Kluyveromyces lactis: one gene and its partners. The protein of the gene in region 3 interacts with the protein of the main gene of each other region in a biochemical or structural test. Links are inferred from orthologs where the notes say so. Each region holds a gene or a part of one and is shown on either strand. Other genes may lie near its edges.

Region 1 (3,332 bases), on a different chromosome or scaffold from region 3:
GTTAGTTAGCTTTACCCATTATCAATTACCAATTTGATCTTGACGAAGAAAAATGAATATTTAAGCTTACATTATACTTTTGGATATACTGATGTTTGAATGATTAAGGAAGGGGAAAAACGGCAGCACAAACTTATAAAGCACCAATTAAGAAGGAGATGCCACGTCCGGTACCCAAGTCTTTACTGCTACGTCAAGCCAGACGTCTTTCTCCGGCAACTCAAGCACCAACCCCAACATTAGGTGCTTTAATATCACAATTCACACTTTCAGATAATTTCGATGAGACAACTTTAGAAGAACAATACGAACAACTGAAGCCTCTTCTGACCAGTATAACATTGACAAATGTGCCCTTTGACACCTGGACTTCCAATGATATTAACGTACTAAAACACCATCTTGATGCAAAGGCACCGCTGCCTTGGAAATTTTTAACCGATGACGAAAAACGAGTGTGGTATCTTTTGGGGTTTGGAACTTGGGGTCCGCGGAAAGAGTTCAATAAGGTAAAACCTAATGACATTCAGTGGAATGCGAATGCTAAGGTAAGTTCCAATCAAAGCGATGTTCCTAAGGTGGTGACACCTATACCGATTTGTTCAAGTGACAGAATCGAATGGGAAAAGAAAAAGAGACAACTAGATCCGCTAACAATATCAGTGGGCGTATTCGCCTCGATGATCACTCTCACAGCATTCCTTGTATAAAGAACTATTCGCATGGATATGACAATTTGTCATTTTGATTAAAGCGGTAACGGGTTGAGATTATTATGTAGATATTTGTATGCGTATATATATATATATATATATATATATATTTCGTGTTACTTGGATGCTTCTCGCTCACAAGGAATACTCCGGTTTAAGAAATTGGATCTAATCAATTTCGATTATCATTCTTCATCTTCGTCTTCGTCTGCCATGTCTTCCATATCATCTTCCCATGACTTTTCTACGGTCTCTTTCACACGTTTCACGTACTGAGATTTGTGATCCTGGAATAAAGTTGCTGCTTCAACGTTAGCAGGCGATGCAGGATTGGGATCATTAAATAACGACTGAATTGACGTTAGAATCGATGCAACGTCATATGTCGGAGTCCATCTATTCTGAAGAATGTCCAAGCAAATCTCACCATTGGCATACACGTTAGGATGGAACATCTCACTCAAGAATTTGACGTGCGGCGGTTTATTTGGATATTCTTCATCGAATTCTAGTAATAATCTAAACGTTCCATCTTCATACGGCGTATCTGCGGGGCCGATAATCATTGCATTCCAGATCATCACATTATCAGGTAGCGGCGACGCAGATACGCCTGGTGGCGAGTCTTCTTTCATTCTTTTGAAGTCTCTCATCAACCTCCTCCTAGCTGGCGTAGACATATTGTAGTATTCTTTCTTAAAACTTATTCCCTTAACACTTAAACAGGGTTCTTGAAAAGTGGCTATAATTTCGTTTAACCAATATTCAATGATTAATTTCTATCAGTACAATGACAATGTTTAACAAACGTCAGTGGTTCCTATAATATTTCGGTTTCCCAGTTGTAAGACTATCCTCTGCTATATCCCACTAATTGTTCAACCAGAGACAAGTTCTTAATAATTATTCGTAATCGGCGTCTCTTATTTCTACAGGAAATCTCAATTCAGTAAAATCAATTTTAAAGAACCACAATAGTATATTTCTTAACGAAAGTAGCTCCAGTAACAAATAATCAAACACACAGAACACTACTTGCCGTGTCTTTAACCACTGGCACCTTTCGTTTAGTCCAATAGTTATTCCAAACGCATCCTGTATCTATTTCAACTTTCTTTCGAAATGTGGCGAAATCTATTTGTGCGGGTAATAATAAAACGCTTTCCTATGCCAAACGACCATAAGTCATCGAATGATGATATAAATAAGTAAATATCGGTATATAGAGTGGTTACTATACATTACTATAAGCATTGCTAACTTGGTTTACTAAACTCTATCCAATTGCAATTTGTCCGTATGCCTCATCAAATTTCCTAGTTTGAGAACGGTATCGGTACCGTAACCTTGAATAGAATGTACGGTCAAATCACCGTTCCAATATTCGGCATATACTTTGCATAGTGCGAGACCAATTCCAAGTTTATATCTGGGAGATCGTTTGAGAAGCTCCATTAGCGGTTGTCCAACTTTAAATTTACCTTTCGTCAAATTGTTTTCTGACATCCGATCTAGCGATGTTTGTCTGTAACGATCTGATTTTAGATGAGCACCGTTAGAAGAATCATATAACGACAAAGTCTGCAATCCAGGCAAGTGATGGAAGTTGTCTAGGGATTGCTTGGCTAGCTCTTTTGATTTACCAAAGGACCATATCTGCTTATCAGAATGTGGCACTCCACCACCTCTATCACTGATTCTGAAAAGATAACTTTGGTCATTCGATATTATAGTTACTGTCACCGGAGGTGCCTTTTCTAGTCCCAATCGTATGGTCTCCTTGACAGTCACTTCGTAGCTGTTTCTTAAGATTTCTCCCAATAGGAACTTTAGATGCGATGGTAGGAAATAGAATTCTAGTTCAGTGTCCCCGTTGATAATCAATTCGGGCATCTTGATGCCCGCAAAATACATATTATTGATGTATGCCTCACATACTTCCCTCGCACCGTTCAAGTACTCCTTGGCGTTACATTTTTGGAAAATATCTCCCAAAACAAGTGTGTTTTCCTTCTTTCCACTTAAATAATTGGATGTGATACTCAAATGTTCTTCTACGATCAACCTTCTACTAATCCGGGCTCTCAATAAATCCGAAATCAATGCATCCATTTTATCCTGAGGGTACAAATCCAGGATTCTACATTCCAAAGCACCCATAATCAAATGAGGCAAGTTCAAAGAGTTGAAATCTGATAAAATCGCATGTAGAAACTGACAAAACTTCAAATTGTCCTTCTCGTCCTTGATCTCCGGGAACTTTCTGAACCTTTCAAAGATGTTATAATATGATTCATACACCTGATTGAAATGGAAATTATTCACTACATCGAAAGGCAAGTTTTGCAATAGGTCTAATTTATGTGCGATACGAACACATAGCTCCTCTTTCACAAATTTCCCAGAAGAAATAATTTTCATCTTCGTTAACTTACTTGAGTCATCGTAATACTGCGCCAACTGTTTCAACGACATTGGATGTGGTTTCTTCTGCAAATACTTCTTAACCAAGACATTATCATTATGGTAGTAATGGTACTGGTTGATATATTTTGATTCTGTGGGATATGCGCTTAAAGTGCTGGAAATGTAGGGTGCAAGCTCATTGATGGACCTCGT
Region 2 (4,738 bases), on a different chromosome or scaffold from region 3:
GATACCCTCATACCAATTAGCAGAATCCTTCGACATGTTATAGGCAGGTTGAACGTCGAAAAGGTTCTTGTAACCCATTGGGAAAGTCAATACGTTGGTGGATGGATCATAGTAATACAATGCAAGATCAGCTATCTTTGCAACGACATCTACAAACAATGGATGACCTGGTCTACTCGCTAAAGTCCATTGACATAGGTTTATCCTTCTATTGAAAAGGCCTCTCCAAGTACCAAGATCCCGTTCTTCCTCTATACCAATTATGACACCGACATCAGTCTTGGAGAGATCATTTTCAGCCATCAATGTGGCCAACGGACCATCTGTAAGCCAAGCGTCTATGTTAACAGAAGGTGAAGTATCTATATCGCTGTAATATCCACCTTTCGCCAATAAAACGAGGTATCTAAAATAATCAGCTTTCAAGATCTTTCTCGGCAACGTATCCCAGGTCTGAATAATTTCTGGGAACAGCTTAAATTGGGTACGTACGAATTCATCGATTTCATCATCATCGAGGAAATGGTAATTGAATCCAGATTGGGATGACCAAAGCCTCACGTTTTCCTGGAACCTAACATCAAGATTCTGTTTTGATTTCCAAGATTGCCAGATATCTCTTGGAATCTCATTTTGAGAATTGAAATGTGCCAACAGCCGATGCCTCAGTGATCCTGTGGACCAATCTGCCGGTACAGTTGGTGTATTGACGGATTTATCCCTATTCTGGAATGCGGGAATGTTATGGAATAGGATCCAAAATAGGTAAATTGAAACAATGGACAACAATAAGCATGAGCGGGGTCTAAGGTGTTTCATGGGTAGATGAGAGGACAAGAAAGTCAGGTCAACTGGCCTTGGAACATTCTTTTCTTTTTCCTGCATCTCGTTTGTTTTTGTTTCACATTCCTATTGTCTTTAGTTTAAGTTTTACATTTCCTTAGCCTTGGGAATTTGATACACCACAGATCATAAAGATTAGAGAACAAAGGCCATTACCCATCTGAGGGGGAGGGGGGGGTATACTTTCTACCAAAACTACGTAAGTATGGAGTAACATATTCCAAAGCGTACCTACAAAATAGCAGTCGTATTAGAAGAACAAACGATATTACAAATTGAATATCCAGAACCAATAATATCAGAGAGTACTTTAATGCAGAATCAAAAGTAACTTTCAGTCTTGAATCTTGTCTAACAGATAAAGATAAGTACCTCGTCTAATCTAATTGTATAAACCGGAAATACAACTTAGAACTAAGTTAGATAACAACATACCATTAGCACTCATGCATAATTTAGATTATAAAAGAGTGCTAATGGTATGTCTGGCGACGCCTGAAACATTCCGACGGATCATCACGTGCGTAACACGTGACACAATTGTTTTTTTCTTGGCAGGGTAGTCGCATTAGCGGTAGAACAATCTAGAAAGAAAAAGAAAATGGCAAGCTACCAAATGTTACCCGGAAACAGATAGGGAAAGCCTCACCCCGCCTCCATTAAACGCCGGATTCAGCTTAGGAATTACGTGTTGACAAATACATACGAAACGACAGATCGCCTCAATTACCCAACAAACTGACTTATCAGTTGCATGCTGAGGTAGATTGTCATATACTATAGAGAGAGTCTCTATCACTCCATGGAAATACTGCTACTAAATCCATTGAGTTGAAAGCAGTATCGGGTGCTTGTGCACCCGATACTCTAACCTTTATCTTGCTTTGCTCTTGCTCTTAGTGCTTCCATTTGTCATACGAATGTCTCACAGTGACAATTGTCATTTTTTTCAATTTTGTATCTTTCTTTTCATCGTGTTTTACAGTTCTTCATCCTCTAGAAACAGAAATAGAAATATAAAAGAGCCAAACGAGTTTTCGATATATATATATATCATATTGGTTGGTATAGAGGTACATGAAGCAAGCACGAGCGGATTCTGTACTTTGAAATAAGGAGGTAAGGTATTTAGCTCTCTGTACACCGAAGGCCCTCGTAATTAAAGAACCAGGGATTTGTTCGGGAAAGAATACTGGAAACGGCCTTTCGTTACATTTTTAAGGAAGTAAGCTAATAAGCTCTATTATAAATTAGTAATTGGAGCAAATAAAAAAAGAGACAGACAGAGAGAGGAAACAGACCATGTCAGCTGCAGATTTGGAATTGAGAAGGACTTTGACGGATGTGGTTGATGACGAGTTGAGGATCCACAATACGAACCCGATGTCTTTAGATATGGGGTTCGGTGAAACGCACTACGATTCGTTTCCGCAACTCACGAGGTCACAGGTGCATTCATTCTATACCGGGCCCAATTTTTCGTCGGGACACTCGCAACACCAGTATAATATGGGCCAGCTCATGGGTCATGATCTGCATTTGTCTGATGATGATACTGCAAGTGGGGTGTTCAACAAGTACGCTGATCCCAATTTGACCACTTTAGATAAGAAAAGCGGATGTGCTGTACCTGCCACTGGTCCTGGTCCAACCGCAACTACGGGCCCAGCTGCCATTGTGAAACAGGTTAATTTGAATTTAACTCCAGTGCAGCCAACGATTTCACTTAATACGATTACTCCAAATCCTTTCTTACAGTCTTCGGCAAGATTCCCAAATGCCCAACAGATTCCTCAGAATAATCCAAACAACCACCATAATGGTATGTCGAATGGAAGGTTGAACAGCGTCCGTGGGTTTAACTTCCAAACGAGAATTAACAACGAAAACGGATTCGAAGATGAGTTTTTGAATGAGGGTTATGGTGATTTCAATAACATGTACGAAGAGGATGAGAAATTGACCGCTCAGGCTACGTTATGGGATGACCAAAACATGGCGGGGTATTATTGGACAAATGATCAGGATACCCTGTCTCGTTTTGACCAAGAATTCAACTTCGATGATGATCTTTCGGATGAAGAAGAAGAAGAAGAAGAGGAGGAGGAGAGGGAGTATGAGGAAAATGCAGACGGAGGAAAAAACAACACAGAATTAACAGACAAGATTCTGAATGACTTACAGGACGATTTCTCTGACAGTGAGGAGGTTTCTACCAAATCGAATGAGGAGTCGTTATACATGGATACCCAACAACGATTGAACGAAAACCAACAGAGGGATTTATCGCAGGTAACTGTTCCTCGCATAGAGTCAATCAAGAGTTCTGTACTCGAAGAAAATGAAAAATTAGAAGAAGAAGAGGAAGAAGGTGATGATGAGGGTGACGCTATGTTCAGCGAGGACGATGAGGATCCTTTATACGAACCTGCTCTGGTGAGTCCCAGAAGAAAACCAAGTATGGTTATATCTCAACAGAATTCTAACAAACAAAGACAACTTCTCACCATAAATACTCGGAAATCGCATGAGGTCAGTGATAATAAACTGGATCCAAAATCAACGAACACGACAGGGTCTCGTACCATGACTAGAAATAGAGGTAATCATCAACGTGGTAAATCTGTGGATGCCCTACTAAGCGTCGACCGTTCGTATGGATCCTCAAATACACACACACACATTCATCATTCCCACAACCAGAACGATGAGCATATCTGCATGGTGAACAACCCAGTCACTAACGAACCATGTATGAAGAAGTTTTCAAGACCGTATGATTTAATCAGACACCAAAAAACTATCCATGCTTCTAAGAAGAAAATATTCAGGTGTTTGATCTGCATTCAAGAACTGGGATCTGAAGGCTATCAGAGAACCTTTTCGAGAAATGATGCCCTAAGTAGGCATGTTAAAGTCAAGCATAATCTACAAGGTACCGAAGCACAGCGTGTGATACAATACGCAAAGGACAACGTTGAATATCAGAACTCTTAACTGTAAGGGTATTTAGTTTGGCGAATTGGTTTTTTTCTCTCTACGTTTCTTCGACTTGATCGGAGTTCTGCTCATATATGTAATTCTGTAAATACACCTTGATATATATATTTGCTATAGAGTACTCAATATCGGATGGTATACTATATTTTCTCTGTTCTCAACTCATTTTTTTCTTGCCACAGGAGAATGTACCCCAATTCGATGTCTATAGAAATTATTGATTAACATAGAAAGTTTATAATGTGTGCCGTTGACTTGTATCTATATATTTATTCCTTGAATCCTTCCTGGCGAACTAATTCTGCATTGACTTTGGCACTTTCTGGGTCTAAGTAGAATTTTCTAATAAATCTGAAATTATCATCTAGTTCAATGACTGAAGGAATGGCATTAGGAATATTGACTTCCTTAATGTCAGTATCGCTAATGCCTTCTAAAATCTTTAAGAGTGAACGGACTGTGCTTCCATGACCGACTATAAGGCTGTCACCACGTTCCTTCAAGTTCGGAAGAATCATATTTTCAAGCAATGGTTTCAATCTTTGAACGACATCGCACAAAGACTCACCATTGGGCAATTCATCATGAGTAATCTCTTCCTCCAAATATTTAACATGCCTGTTTGGTTCTTTAAATTCATATCCTGTATCACCTTGGTCGAAATCTTGTACCATCTCCCTGTTTAAATCTGCTTTTGGAGGTTTTCCGAGGTAATCTCTTCTGATATACATATACTGTTCTTCACCATACTCTTCCAACATTTTATGTTTACTTTGACCCTGCCATGAACCGTAGTGTCTTTCATTCAATCTCCAGCTCTGATAAACTGGGAATTTACCATTATCTGATGTCTGTTGCGGTGGTAGCTCACCGCTGACGATACGAAATTCAGGCT
Region 3 (5,670 bases):
GAAGCTAAATTGATAGAAACAACATTGCGTTCGACAAATACAAAGTATGATAAAACATCATAATCTTTGGGCATCTTGCAAAATACACAATCATCTTCCGGATATGTCCAACATATACCGATAGCAGAGTTATCGAGATTGGTTCCTTGTGAGCTAATATCCTCTGCAGAAACATTGTTGTTATCCATGAATTCCTTTTGTTGTTTGGCTAGCTTCTGCATAAGTTTTTCTCTTCTCGACTTTGCTAACATCTTCTTCTTAATGTACTCCTCGTTTTCCGATTCACTTATATCAGTGAACAAAATTCTGGGGTCATAATTTGGAGTCTGTTCTGAGAGGTAATCGTCCACATTAATGTGTGGTGCCCGATCTTTCAAAAATCGGAATATCTCTCTGATCTTACCATTCTCTACGTTAAAGTCATCCGAAGATAGAAAATTGTAGAGTAAAGATCCGATACTATGATAAAACCCATTCTCAGACTCGTCAAGATGATACTCATGCCAAAATATTCGTTCAAAGTCTGCCAGGTTATTGACAACACAAAGATGAATCAAGTGAAGAACTTTGCCTAGTAAAGATTCGAGCTTCATTTTCATAATATGAACCAATGTGTTCTTCACGAACACGCCAAAAATGTCTGTAGAAGTGATTTGGTAAAGGTTTTGATATTGTGTATTCCTTAATTGGTCCTGAATTGATGAAGCTTGTACAAATGTGTCATTAAAAGAAACCCCGTAAGTTTCTTTCATCCTTTCACGGACTAATAAGGTGGCTTCGTAGCGCTTATTGGAGGAGAACCCGACGAAGAACGGGTCAATCTGTTTCCTGTACTGTTTTTTCAAACTGTAAGTACCGGTATCGAAATTACCGGTCGGCTCATGGTAATCACTGTACTGGTTTAAATACAAGTCAAATGCAGGATGCTTAGTAACGTGTTCAGGGATTGCCTCAACTAATGAACTATAACTGCACTTTCGAAAACAGAGAGAGTGGATAATTTCTGATTTCATAGTACTTTCGAAACCTTCAACTGAAGTCGAAGCACATAGAGCTCTAGTTTCTGTCATTAAACGTATTAAAGTAAGGAAACATTGTTCTGTCATGGCGATTGTCAAACTCTCTTCTGGGTAGTCACCTATTGGAATTCCTTCTGCCCAGTATTTGAGTCCCCATCGCGTTAGAAAATTAACCATGAAATCATGTGGATCCGCATAACACATTGAAAACTGAACGAGGAAAAAATCACTAAAGTAAGTGAATTCACGCATGCTGTATTTTGTATACATTTTCAATTGATGCTGAATTGGAGAGCCATTGCGTACCCAAAACCCAACATCAATCTGTGATATCATAACTAAAGTGCAGAGGGCCTGTTCTGCTATCCAAAGACATTCAGTTGGAGATTTAAAAAATTCCTTGAAATTGAAGTAATCTTTGAGCGTCTCTGGAAGGGGTTCGTATCTGCCACATTGACTCCACTGAAGTATGAATTTAATGTAATACGATATCGGATTGAAAAAATTCTGGGTTTCTGATCCAACTTTGAAGTTAAAAATTCGAGTCTGTACGTTGCACACAGTTGTTTTGAAGGTGTTAGAAGTATTTCCGGGTATTGATGGACGAAATTTGTCCAATGAGGAGAGGTGTTTATCGATTGAAGTAGTGAGCAATGTTGACACCAATTGTTTTCTTTTAATGGGGTCCAATACAAGTGATATGTTTCTTAGAAACCCGTCAACCATAATTAAGATGGATGAGAAGAAGAAGTAAAATGAGGAAAAATCAAAGTTTTCGTACTGGACATGTTCTGAGGTTTCTCGCTTTAGTGGTAATATTTTGTTGAAAGAAAAGAAACATTCGCGCATTGCGTTCGTTAAGGATTCATTGGCAAAAACTGATGCAGGTTTGGTGTTAGTGCACATCGCCTGGTAAATGTCTTTGAAGCATATAACTGCTTTTTTATTTTTGATAACCGTATCTGGTAGTTTGAATTCTGAGCTCAATGGAATCGGTGGTGAATTAGGGACTATTTCCGAGTCCGAAGACATTATTGAATAACTGAAAGTAAGACATCTTTCTATGAAGCCAGCATTGATAATCATATTTGCAGTTGATGGTGAAGGGAAGATATATTGAGAAAGAGTGCTCATGAGTGTTAGTTTATAGCCGCTTGCATCAGAGACTATTGTTCGATATAGGATGTTACAATAGACATCCAAATATTGAGCCGCTAAGCATTTTTTTGAATCGTCTCTAACACTAAAGATACTTCCAAACACTTCCAACAACCTCATTCTCGTGAACTGTGAAAAGGTAGTCAGACATTCGGTGATAAAATACTGAAATCTAGAACCTGATAAAGGAAGATATCTGCATGCTGTATTGGGGGTATCCGTTTCTCTAATTTTCTGGTCATATATCAGCATGACATTGGTGATGTTTGGATCATGTGTTTCGTCACTGTTGCTTTGGAAGTTCCAGGGTTTGATCCAGGGAAATGAGTTATGCTTTTGATGTGGTACGATGAAATTCCCAAGAATGTTGATTTTGAATGGCTTCACGGCCAATAGGTTGGATACATATTGATCCATGTATGCAAGTCTAAGAGACAATTTTCCAGATAAAACTGAAGGGTTATGAACGGCAAAATGATGTAACCATCGTACTAGTTCACTTATCATGTACCTTTTAAAAACGTTGGACTCATTCATCAAATGGGTCGGTATATCTTGTAATTCAAGTTCTTGCTTCAATCGTAGCATAAAAGCCTTATTGGTTGATTCGGCAATAACGGTGAAATGCTCATCTTGATCAAACTGTGAGAGTACGAACGTACCAAACGAGATATCCTTCTTCAATGCCCTTGAAATTTTCCTTGCAACATCTTGCACATGTATGTTACATTCATGCTGGTATAAGACGAGAACATACTTTTGTGAAAATGATTCTACATTTCCTACAGAGTCTTTGATCGGTATGGACTCCACAGCTTCATGTTTTATCTTCTCATCGCCATCCATCCAAGCAAAACAACAGTCAATAATAAAATCGAGTACCTGCGAGAACGTTGAAATCCACATATCGTTGTACAGTTGTAGGTTCGTAACATCAATATCTGCATTGTTACTCTGTATCCTACATTGAAAAGCCTTCTTGGGATCATTATAGCTAGATATGTCGCCGCAATGGCATACTTTCCCCTCTGGCCGCGTCACTACGCGTGATGTATATCGGTGGCCTATGTGCTGACTCTCATCAAAACAATCTTCACAAATTTCATACAACGGATTTTTTGTACAATCAAAGCAGTAGTAAACGGTCTCAGTGCCATGGCACTGTTTCGAACACTGCGAACCTCGATGATCGTTATGTTTCCTTTTCGGTATGAGTGACTCACGCCAGTTAGATCTCAATTTGATCTTCCCAAAATCGCCCATTTCCCACTGATTTAACCCAAAAACATGAGTAAGATCTTCCCAGTTTATTTCCTCATTACAATGGTTCATACAGGTGAGTAGAACCTTCCAAAGGTAAAACGAACACATATCATTGTATCTGTACCTGCAGAAATGAGCAAAGTGAACCAAAAAATCACGCAGACATCGCACTGATTCGCCCATCTTAAATGGACTCGCTAAAAAGAATACCTGCTTCTTTCTGGTCTTGGCTTGCTAGTCATTCAAACCTAAAATGAACACTATTAACAGAGCAAAAACAAGAAGCGCGCCCCTTGATATAACGTGCATCCATTTATCTATTTACTATTTACATTTTTAAGCTTGTCTTACTTTCAGTTTTTCGTTTCAGCAAGTATTCGAGGCATTTGCCACCTTTAAACATTAGTACGAAGAGCACAAAAAAGAATATCTTAGGATACCTGATGTAAAATCACAATGGAGTTAGCATCAGTTGGGTAGTGTCTATGGAGTGTATAGAGGGACTATTATTGTAAATATTTTGATGTTTGACCGTGGTCACATGACCGAATATCAGTCACGTGACTTACTTTTGAACCAAAAGTCAGGGATTTATAGGGCTGACGACTTTGAAACAGGCGAGCTTCTTTGGATCGAGACGTTGAACTGCAGCTGGAATCCTAACTTAATCGTAGTTTTTTTTATTTATATAACTTCGCTAAATTGTGTGCTGAGAACAACGTTGGATTACAAATCGAAGACATGAAAGAAATGCTTTATTTAGATTATTTTGACAACCTATTTGAAGAAGAAGGTATTGATGGTCAGTGTACCACTTGCTACCAAACATAACCTGCTTATTAAATGATTCAATTGTGTTTATGGAACCGAAATGATTATTTCTAGGGTACTTCTTACACTTTGCTTCGGTCAAATTCCACATACATTGAGAGGATTCATTTTTATCTTCTGAAAGATTCAATAAAAAAAAAAGGAATACGATATCAGAAAAGAGTTTTGACTTTCCTTGCCAATGCACAGTTGACAAAGGTTCAATACAGGTTGATTTGTCGTATAAACAACTGATCATCAACATAGCAATATCAGAACAATCCCTAAGGTAATATGATTAACGATACTGACCCAGAGTCGTTTTTGCGGCAACATGTTGGACGAACCTTAGGCTGCATTCATTCTCGGCCTGAATTCAAAGATATAAAGGGATCTGCAGAGAGAGCAGTTATGGATAAAGAGCTCAAGAGTTTCATATATGGGTATTATTACTATATGATTTCAGACAGTGGTAGGCTTCTTCCGCATATGTTTACTGCTACAAATGAGCGTGAATTCCCCAAGAATGTCGACCAAGCAATGGAAATCAAGCTGAGTTCGAAACCCTGGTATAAGATCGATGAGAATGGCGGGCATTCGAAATTCAACCACGCTGGCAGAATATGTGGTGCGAAGTTTAGAGTAGGCGAACCGATCTACCGTTGTAAGGAGTGTTCATTTGATGATACTTGTGTGCTATGTGTAAACTGTTTCAATCCAAAGGATCACGTTGGTCATCACGTATATACGTCGATCTGCACAGAATTCAATAACGGTATATGTGATTGTGGTGACAAGGAGGCATGGAACCATGAATTGAACTGTAAAGGTGCTGAAGATAATGGTCGTTTGGAAGACGAGTTTGACGACCATGATGGCAAGATTTCTAAGATGCTAGAAAGCGTCCTAATAGAATTATTTGATCATTTCATCGATGTCTTCAACCAAAACATTGAGCCATTAACAACAATTCAAAAACCACTCATTGCGAAACTTAGATACTTCATCCAGAACGGGAAATATAATGAACAAGCTGACATGCTGAGGCGATTGGCATATAGAAATCAATACATGGACGAAGAGGAGTCCCAGCAACAAACGCCATCTACATCGTTAGATCCCTTGAGTACACTTAAAGATTATGCTATTTTGGTATACAACGATGAATTTCATAACTATTCGCAGGCTTCTGCTGCCATTAGACAAGGTGGGCCTGATAACAAACATATTGATTTATTGACTGCGAAGATCGATTCTGAGGGGAGATCATTGTTGAGATGCAGCGCTGATATCGCATCTTTAATGGGAGGATTCTTTTCCGTTCAAAGTAACGGGTTGAGCTGCACAATAACTCAATGGTATGAATATCTACATCAAGAAGCCTGTAAGTATAGCATAATGTGGATTAATGATTGTTTGA

The links.
Region 1: the proteins of UBR2 (region 3) and RAD6 form a complex in vitro, tested with the Saccharomyces cerevisiae proteins (3 studies listed by BioGRID). The link is inferred for Kluyveromyces lactis from reciprocal best matches to the Saccharomyces cerevisiae genes UBR2 and RAD6.
Region 2: the proteins of UBR2 (region 3) and RPN4 form a complex in vitro, tested with the Saccharomyces cerevisiae proteins (3 studies listed by BioGRID, with this or other methods). The link is inferred for Kluyveromyces lactis from reciprocal best matches to the Saccharomyces cerevisiae genes UBR2 and RPN4.

Annotation. Positions count from the first base shown.
Region 1 is NC_006039.1:502,586-505,917, forward strand, and holds RAD6 (E2 ubiquitin-conjugating protein RAD6), read right to left. Parts: upstream 1,394-3,332; coding exon 899-1,393; downstream 1-898. Other genes in the region: KLLA0_C05610g (uncharacterized protein), read left to right, coding at 159-710; protein kinase PKP2, read right to left, coding at 1,983-3,332. UniProt on the Saccharomyces cerevisiae protein: E2 ubiquitin-conjugating enzyme that accepts ubiquitin from the ubiquitin-activating enzyme E1 and transfers it to a E3 ubiquitin-protein ligase.
Region 2 is NC_006039.1:371,855-376,592, reverse strand, and holds RPN4 (stress-regulated transcription factor RPN4), read left to right. Parts: upstream 1-2,145; coding exon 2,146-3,840; downstream 3,841-4,738. Other genes in the region: KLLA0_C04125g (glycosyltransferase family 32 protein), read right to left, coding at 1-885; phosphoglycerate mutase family protein GPM3, read right to left, coding at 4,113-4,738. UniProt on the Saccharomyces cerevisiae protein: Acts as a transcriptional activator of a number of genes encoding proteasomal subunits. Binds to a PACE (proteasome-associated control element) DNA sequence 5'-GGTGGCAAA-3'.
Region 3 is NC_006042.1:1,415,168-1,420,837, reverse strand, and holds the start of UBR2 (putative ubiquitin-protein ligase UBR2), read right to left. Parts: upstream 3,624-5,670; coding exon 1-3,623. Other genes in the region: E3 ubiquitin-protein ligase UBR1, read left to right, coding at 4,545-5,670. UniProt on the Saccharomyces cerevisiae protein: E3 ubiquitin-protein ligase which probably functions outside the N-end rule pathway, since it lacks the residues essential for the degradation of N-end rule substrates. Mediates RPN4 ubiquitination and subsequent degradation.